Linked DNA regions of Bombyx mori. The protein of the gene in region 2 purifies or fractionates together with the protein of the main gene of each other region. This does not show direct contact. Links are inferred from orthologs where the notes say so. Each region holds a gene or a part of one and is shown on either strand. Other genes may lie near its edges. The genes, in order: Rabb, Golgi phosphoprotein 3 homolog sauron and Rab11.

The links.
Region 1: the proteins of Golgi phosphoprotein 3 homolog sauron (region 2) and Rabb purify together in Drosophila melanogaster (affinity purification with western blotting; 3 studies listed by BioGRID, with this or other methods). This does not show direct contact. The link is inferred for Bombyx mori from reciprocal best matches to the Drosophila melanogaster genes sau and Rab1.
Region 3: the proteins of Golgi phosphoprotein 3 homolog sauron (region 2) and Rab11 purify together in Drosophila melanogaster (affinity purification with western blotting; 3 studies listed by BioGRID, with this or other methods). This does not show direct contact. The link is inferred for Bombyx mori from reciprocal best matches to the Drosophila melanogaster genes sau and Rab11.

The regions. Positions count from the first base shown.
Region 1 is NC_085131.1:10,116,503-10,121,003, forward strand, and holds the start of Rabb (small GTP-binding protein), read right to left. Parts: upstream 2,817-4,501; 5' UTR 2,717-2,816; coding exon 2,703-2,716; intron 2,254-2,702; coding exon 1,989-2,253; intron 654-1,988; coding exon 522-653; intron 1-521.
Region 2 is NC_085111.1:10,440,827-10,444,904, reverse strand, and holds the start of Golgi phosphoprotein 3 homolog sauron, read right to left. Parts: upstream 2,801-4,078; 5' UTR 2,479-2,800; coding exon 2,293-2,478; intron 2,203-2,292; coding exon 2,055-2,202; intron 1,117-2,054; coding exon 1,018-1,116; intron 324-1,017; coding exon 148-323; intron 1-147. UniProt on the Drosophila melanogaster protein: Phosphatidylinositol-4-phosphate-binding protein that links Golgi membranes to the cytoskeleton and may participate in the tensile force required for vesicle budding from the Golgi.
Region 3 is NC_085112.1:15,253,418-15,257,155, reverse strand, and holds part of Rab11 (ras-related GTP-binding protein Rab11), read right to left. Parts: intron 3,476-3,738; coding exon 3,243-3,475; intron 1,819-3,242; coding exon 1,703-1,818; intron 1-1,702.

The DNA.
Region 1 (4,501 bases), on a different chromosome or scaffold from region 2:
GCATGACACCCCTATTGATAAATATTTGTGCTTTGTGAAATAACATCAGCTATCAGTTTTAGCAATGATGTTTACACAAGTGGAACACATTGTTGTACTATGAATTGACCGAAATGCTGTTGATTGGGAGATTCTTTAGATCTTTTATTACATATGTTTCTTTATGTTAACAACTAGTCTACAGGTTACCAGATCATAAAATACAAATGTCACTCAATTTCACAATGAAACATGCTTCTCTTAAATTTTATTAAAACACAAACAAAAATTGCACACAAAGTAAATGATCCAGACAAAGAATCAAAGACAACATGTAGAGTACTACTCATTAATTATTGATTAGGTATTGTGCAATAAGCATTACATCAGTAGCAATATACATACATATACATATGTAGTGACAAACAAAGCTCAAATGTGAATGTGTATTCATACAGTAGCTAGCTTCAACCACTTTCAGTCATCTAAAATAATTGGTTACAAAGTTACTTTACAGACGTATTTATTCATTCATAACTTACCTTAGCTGTACTAAAGTCGACAACCTTTTTAGTGGTTAAGTCACACTTGTTACCGACGAGCAGTTTGTTCACATTGTCACAAGCGTAACGATCAATCTCCTCTAACCACTGTTTCACATTGCTGAATGAATCCTGTAATGGAATATATATTTTTTTAGAAAGTTTTTCTTTGATTTAAAAAAAGGGTAATCCTGATATATGACCCATGAAATAAAACTAACTAGTTAGTAAGCTGTCACTTTAGAAAGTTTGGTCACAATATTGAACACTTTAGAGATCTTGGTTACAAATAAACTTACACTTTTGCTTGTAATCTATTGTTTGACTGTTTTATATATATATATTACAATTACATAAATCAATCAATCAATACAAAAAATTATAATGCTTCAATTTAAATAATATTAAACGCAAGGTTATAATAATGTTGTCTTCACATTATATTTTTATGTTAATAATACTTTTTTCCAAATGAATAAAAGATGAGTTTTTTTAGTAAAATTTGATGTGCCAAACTACTAATCATTGACCTTAACTATTATATTTTGATGTACTCTACAGCTTCTGTAAATCTCTTAAATAGTTCACAATGAATTTTCAAATGATGAGCATCTTTTTTAATAGGACACTATTACTAGATTTTCTCACAGAAAAATTCAAAAATTTAATCTTATTTGAATAATAGTCATATTAATCTTAATGTGTGCAAATTTATTTATATATTACCATACATTGATATGGTATCATTGCTCTAATCTAATGAACTTGCAAATTATCTTAATAAATACCATTCATAGAGCATATATATTTTTTTTTAAACTATATATTATTTTCAACCATGAAATGTCTTTTTCTAAATGTGTAATAGTTATAATAGTTGTAGTAAGGAAATAAAAAGTTATAAGAAATACAAAACGTAAAGTCAACTGTGTCTAATAGTTAAAAAATCCAGTTCCATATTTTTAATATTAGTTCAAATTTTACAAGTGAAGCAAATTGTAATTTTTTATCAACACCAAAAATATTGAACAGTATAGATATAGAGAGGTAGGAGGAGAGGTATAGATTAATATGATTCACTGCATTGATTGTTTACACTTCAGTGTTTTGTTTGGAGAACTGGATCAATGCCAATTTTTTTTATTTTCTCATTTATTGTTTGCATAAACAATTTTCTAATTTATTTAGAAATTTTACTATGTACTCCAAATGAAAATACTAGATTTTGTAATTATTAATAATGGTTTAGTTTACATTTGAATTTGTGAATCTTCTTTGTGCAATTTAGATGTGTCAAATGTTGGTTCTTTGTTTTCTTTGTTTAAAACCATAATCTTTCGAGATTTTTTATAAAATACTTATTTTAAACATTTATTTTAGTATAAAAAAGAAAATAAACAATGTTTTTTTTGTTCTTAAGATGTGATATTTTATTCTGAAAATATTAGTGTAGGATCATATAATTACCTGGTCTGTGCAATCATATACAATGATGATTCCATGTGCTCCTCTGTAGTATGATGAGGTGATGGTTCTAAACCGCTCCTGTCCAGCTGTGTCCCATATTTGTAACTTTATTGTCTTGCCATTTAAGTCTACAGTCCTAATTTTAAAGTCCACGCCAATAGTACTGATGTAGCTCTCGGTGTACGTATCATCAGCGAATCTTAGCAACAGACATGATTTCCCAACTCCAGAGTCACCAATCAGGAGTAGTTTGAATAAGTAGTCGCTGTAATCAATAATTGAAATATACTTTAAAACAAATACTGTGCGTGTCAAGGGCAAATCATGCAGTTTGTACTGGAAGAATTATTGATGTCCTTAGGAGGCGTAACTTCTGTATCCTCAAACAAAGGAACGTCGTATATTTTTTGACAGAAGTGTACAAGCTGTAATTGAAATCCAGGAAATGCGATGATAAAATTTTAGATCAAATACGCCATTCACGATACGAATGACTACGTTTTCACTATTACTATAGTACCTACCACGAACACAATGACTCACCCCCTTCATCACAATATAGCTATTACTGTAAATTAAAAAACTATATCTTATGGTGTGAATGTAGTTCGTAATATTGTAAAAAATGAAGCAAATTTTATAATGAGGATACAGAGACGTGATATTTGCCCATCCTTGTTCATGAAATCGCCATGTTACAGATGTAATACTCACTATTCTGGATTCATTTTTTTAATTTTGTACTAGTAATTGTTTTTCACACAATTTAGTTGTCGAATTTATCGAAAGCACTTAAGTTCTTTGTTTCTAGTACTAAATAGCGAAAAAAAATTAATTCTACGTAGGATAATGGCCGCCGAACGAAACACCCACTGACGTAAGTCAGATTTAAACAGGAGTGCCACTTGGCAAGAATTAATTTGCGTTCAAAAACTATTTTTTTTAGGAATCGACTAATCCTTTAGTCGATTTTTTGTTTCTTTTTGCGTAGGGCAGTCAGTGCTCATATTTAGCAAAATGTAGACCACGGAAATGTACATAAGGTAAAGGCCCCAATTTTAACCACTTACTCTAAAATGTAAAGTTCTTATAAAATTGTTAATAAAATGAATGTATGTTGGTTGAAATATTACTGTTTCAATTATTATACTATTCATTTTTATATTTTTCAAGTTTTGTCGAAGTATGTTAATTGATTTTCTTGGTGAGAATGGGTTATTTATTTCACGTCAACAATTCACCATAAGTTTAGGCTTGAAATTTATTAGTCGTCGTGGCCCAAACAATAAGACGTCCGGTGCATTCGTATCTACTGATGCAACGATGTTCGAATCCCGCATGCGGGTATCAGTTTTTTTAATGAAATACATACTTAACAAATGTTCACTATTGACTTCCACGGTGAGGGAATAGCATCGTGTAATAAAAGTCAAGCCCGCAGAAATATAATTTGCATAGTTACTAGTGGTAAGGACCCCTTGTGAGTCCGCAGGGGCAGGTACCACCACCTTGCCTATTTCTGCCGTGAAGCAGTAATGCGTTTCGATTCGAAGGAAAGGGCAGCCGTTGTAACTATACTGAGACCTTAGAACTAATATCTCAAGGTGGGTGGCACATTTACGATGTAGATGTCTATGGGCTCTAGTAACCACTTAACACCAGGTAAACTGTAAGCTCATCCACCCATCTAAGCAATAAAAAACTAAAATAATAATTAATTATTAATTGACTAAAATCCAACATTGTGCTCCAAAGATTGCCTTATTTTTTATCGAAATGTTTTTCCCAGGGTATTTACAATATTTACAAAAAGCATACATTAAACGAATTGAGTTTAATAAATTATCCATTACATATAGAAGCAGTTTATGAGCACTATTGTTTTTTTTCGATTAGGTGGGTGGACGAGCTCACGAGCGCACAGCCTTTAGGCCATGACATGACTAATATATCATGAGTTATAATTTGTAATTAAATAATAAGTTAATCATTATAAACCGTTATATTAGAAACGGGTTTAGTCATCATTCATCGTAGACACCAAATATAAAAAAAATACTATAAGTTTCACATATTTTATTGAATATACCACTTTTCAAACATTTATTCAATATCTTACCAAAAAGCTTGCTTTTGTTTTTTCTCAGAAATTATCATCATAGGTAGGTACCTAAAATTTGGTTTTACATTATGACTGCACAACAAAATGCTTAAATGCTTTCAATGCCACATTTATAACTATAGTGGTTAATGGACAATCGTTAATTATTTCTACATAATACGATTGTAACAGGGAACAGTGTTTCCTAATATTTGGACGCTTTAGGGCCGAGTCACACCGGAATGGCAGCGGCCGGCGGCGATGCCAGCGGCTCCCGGCGTCGCCGCTGGCAGCCTCTCGACTGCACGCGCCTAGTCTCCTCTTGACTAGTTTAGTTTCTTCATTCGGCAATAATACTCGTGTGTTTGTAGTGAACGTGATGGAATTGGTTATTATATATGACGGCGGTGCC
Region 2 (4,078 bases):
CCTTAATGGTAACGACATTATTATTGCAAATTATTTATAAACAATCAGCTTTACTGTTGTTAATTGGCAGGTGTGTATTGAAGTAGCTGGTTTTAATAATAAAGGGTTTTAAATAACTAAATATCAAAACATTATTATTTGACTTACCTTTTTAACTAAACGGCACTTAACGACATTATCTGTGAGAGGGTGTGTCGTCATGTCAAATAAAAGAAAATTTTGTTTTTCTGTTGTTAAAACCCCTTTCTCAACCAGATTTTTAGCCAATCTTTCGCGTACGTTCTTTAACTGGTATTTCAGTTTCATTGGATTCCATGTTTCACCTAAAAATATTGTCCATCTACATCTTTAAAACTCATTTCCATATATTTTCATATAAATAGGCCACGGCCAAACAGTGAAGTATAATTTCTTTTATGAGGTGGCTATTGATAATAAAGCAAATAAATGTAATATATAAGAATTTAAACACTTTTCCCCACCTATTCGCTGGTAGCCTAAGGTGCCATTCCAGCTTCTGGCAGAAGAGATGTTAAGGTGCCAGAAATTATGCTTGAATTTTGATCAGTAGGCAAACCCTAGTAAATATCCTTGCCTTGGAAAGCAATTGCGCCAAGCCAATTTGTTGTAAAATAAAATTAAATCTGTTATTCTATTTAAAAAGATTTATTGTTTTATTTTGAATAATTTTTAGGAGTTTTAATCTATTCAACATTTAATTTAACCACTTATTGGTATTATACTAAAATCTACTGCCAAGTTTCTAAACCTGCCTAGAGCTAAAATCTCTTAGAAATATTGACTAACATAAACCATAGTTTTTTCTCAAGATTATAACATACTTATTTCCAATTCTCAAAAACTGTGAAATTGGATCTATTGCCCTCCAAAACACAAAGTTACAATTCCTGATAAAATTGCATAACTTAATTTTCACAACACATAAACTCTAAGCTCTTGGTAAATGTCATATTTGTTGCACAACTGTAACATTTGAAATCATAAATATTTACATACCACTCAGATATTCAATCCAGCTTTGTACTGTTTCTGGAGGGTCAGTATCTTTCATATGTTTCAGAGCTTCATCTAGCAGAACATCACCGGTTAAAGTATCTAAAATGTTTTTATTTTATTTTGTTACAATGTAATTTAAGAAGAGCTTGTTGATAGTGAAATAATTAATTTTGTTTGCTTATTAGAATTTGAAATTGCTTTAGAGTATCTTGCACAACAAGTTTCAAGAACCATTATAAATTATTATGTGTAAATGTATCAAGGTTAATAAATAAATTATTATTATTAATTATTATTATTATTTTTAAATAATTTGCTTCTAAATATAAAAGAAAATTAAATATTGACTATTTCTACGAAAATATTTTATCAATAAAATAATGTTTGCTAATGTATTTTTTAAATGTTATCAAAATTAATTTCAATTCAAGCTGATACTTTAGTTCTTTTATAGTTAATTATTGATAGCTTGTTTTTTTAAATAATTAGTAAGATTGTTTATTTTCGTCTGTCACAAAAAATCCCCTGTTAGTTCATCATTATCTGCTCACCATATACTAAGAATAATAGATGGTTTTGAGGTTGTGTAAGTGTGAAAGATTACAATTTTTTTTTAAACATTGAGGACTACTCAACATCCTTATGGCTCATTTGATGTTATGTGGTTGCTATTTAGTCTAAGTCTTATAGCTTATAAATTTTAATTTCTAGAAAATATATTATGTAAACAAAACTTAGGATGTAGTGATTAATTTTTCAGACAATTTTCAAATTTCAATATTTGTAATTTGGATGAAAGAAAATTAAATTGTCAACTTTTTTACTATATTTATACTAGGTTAAAGAAATGCATTTTCTGGAACAAAAAGGATATTCTATGTGAGAAAATATAGCTTTAATCAATTTAGCATTAATAGTACCTTTAGCTTCAGTGTTGATCAGTTGTTAATGAGTACTTTAGAATATTCAAAATTTTATCGTCACTTTTAAAACAGATATATGGGTTTGTTAATTAAACTTGAGCAGTAGTCACCTACCTGACTTTACAATCACTTTTCTAGACAACAAGCCTTTCCTACGCATTCCAGCTCGCTCCAGTTCAAGTCGTCCTCTTAAGCCCAGTTCAATTAGAATGCATCCTCTTAGACCACTGGATATGCAGTCATTCCAAAATGATGTATAACCCTGAAACGGTAGAAGATGAGCATGTCACGATCTTTAGACTGCTGGAATGCCATTGTATTTATCAGATCAGTTAGTCATGTAAATATTCACCTCTTTATCCTTTAACCCTAACAGTAACACTTCTTCCATTAATGTCAATTTAGTTTCCTTGGAATCTCCGTCATCATAATTTTTATCATTTTTCTTATCATCGTTGTCGTGATTTTCTTTCTGTCCGTCTGTGTTACTCTCCTTTATAACATTTCTTCGTTGCACTAAACCCTCAGTACGGTTCATATTCTCATTAAGTTATATTTTAAAATGCTAAAACTAATTAATTTCACAAGAAAGAACTATATTTATATCGAAAAATTGTAAATGAATGGTCAAGTTGACGTTTACGTTGCGACGTGATGTTGTTGTCGAAAACATGGCCGACTATACGTTCCTTTTCACCAGAACCATTCAGTGTGTAATTTTATGCATCTTTGCAAATATTATTCAAATCATTTCGATTGATTGATTTACTAGCAATGTGTCGAATTAAATGAATTTGAATACCTTTTAGAAATTTTCATGTATTTGTATACTGCACTTGCAAGCTACAATACTAAGAAAGAACTCAACTCGGATAGCCAGAAATTGAGTACAATCTCGAGTATCCAAAGAAGTCGAGTACCAAGCTGAGTACTTGGGCTGCGACTTATTTTACTTTATTGTAATTTACATTGAATTTACTTTCAAATCTTCAATACCTAAAGCTTCCTAAAGGGTTCAGAGTGATGCTACTATACTGTTGTACAAACCCCACAGAGAGGTATTATTTTAACGAGTTTTTATGTGCTTGGTGTGTACATATGTATCTTTGAAAGTGACTTTCACTCAGTTTAAAGCTTTGGATTTAATTTAAATTCGTATAGTTATCGAGAATCGATGGCAATAGAGTAAATTAATAAAATTTTCCCATTATCGTGATCAGGTTCTTCAGTATTAACGACAGTACGGACAATTAAAAGACAGTTGTGCCACTTACTATGCATCGCAGCGCCTGCTGTCTTCTTTGGATATTCTAGCAGATTCCTTTTCCGGAATCTAAAATTAATTTCACGTTAAAACCCCAGTAGTCACAGAAACTATCATCAGATAGAAGAACTTGATTTGACAGGAGGTGTGGGACTGTGATGGTGTTGCATTGGATGAAATGGTTAGATTACGAAATATATTGTAGAAGGATATAATAACCTGTTTTCACATAATAATATATTGCACTAAAAAGGTGATGCTTCGTTACTAAAAATAAATGCTTAATAGTTTAAGAAACATTTTATCTCTCCCCAAGATATCTATTTTGATGAAAGACCGATTATGTGGAAGAAATAATCTCATACTATAGTTTATTGGAGAATATATTTGATGTAGTTTCATGTGAATAGATTAATTTAATCTCGGCTAATTCCTCAGAGAATCTGCAGAGACTTTCGTAACTTACATTAAGCGATGCAGTTTATAAATTCAGAGATCGTAACACAGTCCCCGATATCCAAATTTTTGAAATTCTGACACCATCTTCTGCATGTACGCAAACGTACTTAAGCTATATCTGGTGTTTAGAAGTCGCGACCCAGTTACACCCAGTTTAGCCGAGGTTAAACATGTCGATAAAGTACAAATTTTTGACCAGGCGCAAAGTACAGAAAAAAGATAAGATCACTTTGTGGTTCGTCTGTATATTTTTTACCAATGATCAAAATTCGATCATGATCATTGAAATCCAAAAATTTTTTTTTTTTTCATTTTTTTTTTTGATATAGTCATTTTGAAAACAAAAAAGAGACTATTTTTAAATATTATACATAAAATTGTGAACACTAAATGTCGTTCATGGCATCTCCACAAA
Region 3 (3,738 bases), on a different chromosome or scaffold from region 2:
TCTAGGTCCATTTTTTAATTAAAGTCTCTTCTTTTTCTCCACTGTATCCCACTAGGCGGGGTCTGCACAGTTAATTTTTCTCTTCCATTCTCTTCTATCAGCCGTCATCTCAACACCCACTCCTCTCTCTCTCTCTCTCATATCGTCATTCACACACTCCATCCATGTCTTTTTCGGTCGACCGCTTCCCCCTCTATCTTGCACTGCCATTTCCATATTTTTTAAATGTTCTTATTGCTTATATGGGTGGACGAGCTCACAGCCCACCTGGTGTTGAGTGGTTACTGGAGCCCATAGACATCTACAATGTAAATGCGCCACCCACCTTGAGATATAAGTTCTAAGGTCTCAGTATAGTTACAACGGCTACCCCACCCTTCAAACCGAAACGCATTACTGCTTCACGGCAGAAATAGGCAGGGTGGTGGTACCTACCCGTGCGGACTCACAAGAGGTCCTACCACCAGTGAAAAATACATGTCCATTTAATTAAACTCGAAATCCAAAATTTCGAATTGGGTCTCTATAATTCTAAGGGTGCGATATATTGAACACTAAGTTACGATAATATGTTCATTTTAAAATTGTGCGTCCCTTTAACCTTCAAACAATGCTAATATATGAATACATATAATATGACATCATAGTGTGGGCGTTCATTGACATTAGCAAAGCGAACGATTTCGTAACGGTATCGCTAATTTGCATTACAATGTAATATTCATTCTATCGATGTTCCGAAATATTCACTAATATTTTAATGAGTCATTCATTGTATCACATCATAGCCAATCGAACGCCCTATATTCAAACAGAACACTATGTACGTAATCTATTAAAATTATTAAAAGTATAAGAATTAAAATGGACCCCCGTGAACTAACTTAATTTCATTAATCACAAAATTTATGAAGATCTATATATATATATAAAAATGAATTGCTGTTCGTTAGTCTCGCTAAAACTCGAGAACGGCTGGACCGATTTGGCTAATTTTGGTCTTGAATTATTTGTGGAAGTCCAGAGAAGGTTTAAAAGGTAGATAAATAATAATATGAAAATGCTCGGAATTAAATAAAAATAGCAATTTTGCTTTTCCTTTGATGTGTCTCCCTCCCGTCAGACGGATTCCTTTTGTTTGTTTTAACTTGATATTATACAAAAGTTTAGGTCTTTTATTTATCGATTCAGGCACTACGAAGTCTGCCGAGTCAGTTAGCAGAGAATATAGAGAAGGAGTGCAGAGTGTAAATATTTACATATTTATGCAAAAAAATACATTAAATCAATATAAAAAAACGTTGCACACACTACCATATATTTGACACAACACACATATATTATATACCACCCTTCATTTATTGTCAAACTTTTGTTATTGTTATTCAAATTGAATAGATTAATATTATTTGTATATAGCGTAGTCTTGTGATTAAAGTAGTATAGTCTTTGACAATAGAACCAATAATACTGTTCAAACTTTAATTTCAAATAATTATCAAATAATTTCAAATATAATTCAATTAATTTCAATATAATTTCAAATAATTTCGACTGGGTGACCACTAGTTAGTACAAATGTACATTTCATCGTACCTAAGCATGTCTCGAAATTGCGAAGTGGTTTTTCAAGAGCACGACTGTCCTCCGCCACAATTATATAGCACGTTCGATAAGCACTACGTCACTCGTGGGTACTGACCGGTCAGAATGTTCTGGAAGGCCGGCTCGACGTTGGTAGAGTCCAGGGCCGACGTCTCGATAAAACTAAGTCCGTTGGCTTCCGCGAACGCTTTCGCCTCCTCCGTCGGGATGGACCTGCGAACGCGCACCGTAACACTTAGCTGTGTGGGACCGCTTGGGATCAAGTGATACTGCTAGTAGGACCTCTTGCGAGTCCGCGCGGGTGGGTACCACCGCCCTGCCTGTTTCTGCCGTGAAGCAGTAACGCGTTTCGGTTTGAAGGGCGGGGCAGCCGTTGTGACTATACTGAGACCTTTGAACTCATATCTCAAGGTTGGTGGCAGTATTTACGTTGTAGATGTCTATGGGCTCCGGTAACCACTCAACATCAGGTGGGCCGTGAGTTCGTCCACCCATCTAAGCAAAAAAAAACCTTTTATTTGGCTTCATTGTTTGTGCTTATCTTCATTTAATCGAATGAAAATACTTAAGTATATTAGAAATGAATGGGAACATAATATGTTTGACCACACCTAATCTCTTTATTGTCAAATATTTATTACCCTTGAAATTTTATACCATCCACTGGGAATATGTGTGATATAAATAACACAGTTAATAAAATCGGTTGAGGGGGAACATTGGACGGTATCGTAAGCAAACTTTCAATTATTGAATTACTCTTAATGTTTAAAAAACGAATATTAAATATTAAGTAAATACTCGAATGTATATTTTATTTTTTTAATTTTACATAAGATTTATAATAAACGCCGCTCTCTTTGTAGGCGTATAAAGAAAGAAAATAAACATTCGCCCTCTGACTCTGCTTTCGTGATACTTGAACACACCCTGACCAGACATATAGCCAAAAAAATAATTAAACATTACTAAAAAGATTCATTAAAAAACCATATTATTATATTAGACTATATTATTAGACCTTCATGTTAGCTGCTGTATTTGTTTTAGAATCTTTTAAGTAAATATTTTCGTACAGAGACTGCAGATAACGATATAAGTGGAAATCTCATCTAAAATCACGGATGTTTAGATGACAAGTTGTTTCTGTATTTCAATGAGTATGAATTCCAATGAAGTTTGGTTTTTAAATAAGAAAACAAACTTGTCATATTTCGGAAACTAATGCCTTTAGGGATTATCTAGAATTTTGGAGTGATTTATTTCGATCTCATGTCTTGATGTTGGCGGGGTTACTTAATTTTCCCTGTATGAACTCACAAGAGTTTCTACCATCAGTAATTATGCAAATTATAATTTTGCAGATTAGATGTTTATTACATGATGATATTCCTTCACTGTGGAAGTCAATCGAGAACATTTGCTAAGAAAGTATTTAATTAGAAAAATTGGTACTTGCCAGCGGGATTCGAGCACCGGCGCATCGTTACATACGAATGCACTGGACGTCTAATCCTTTAGGTCGCTAGTGTTGTCTAGATTGGAGCTCGATAGTGTTGTCTAGATTGGAGCTCGCTAGTGTTGTCTAGATTGGAGCTCGCTAGTGTTGTCTAGATTGGACGTAACTAGAGACGTACCTAAGATGTCTGAGATCGCTCTTGTTGCCGACCAGCATGATGAGGATGTTCTGGTCGGCGTGGTCGCGCAGCTCGCGCAGCCACCGCTCCACGTTCTCGTACGACAGGTGCTTGGCGATATCGTACACGAGCAGCGCGCCCACCGCGCCGCGGTAGTACGCCGACGTGATGGCGCGGTACCGCTCCTGCCCGGCCGTGTCCCATATCTGAGCTTTTATGGTCTTACCGTCGACCTGGTGGACAACAACAAGATATAGCCTTCGATTTTGAAGTCGTCGTGGCCTAAAGGATAAGACGTCCGGTGCATTCGTGTTGAGCGATGCACCGGTGTTCGAATCTCGCAGGCGGGTACCAATTTTTCTAATGAAATACGTACTTAACACATGTTCACGATTGACTTCCACAGTGAAGGAATAACATCGTGTAATAAAAATCAAACCCGCAAAATTGTAATTTGCGTAATTAATTGTGGTAGGACCAATTGTGAGTCCGCGCG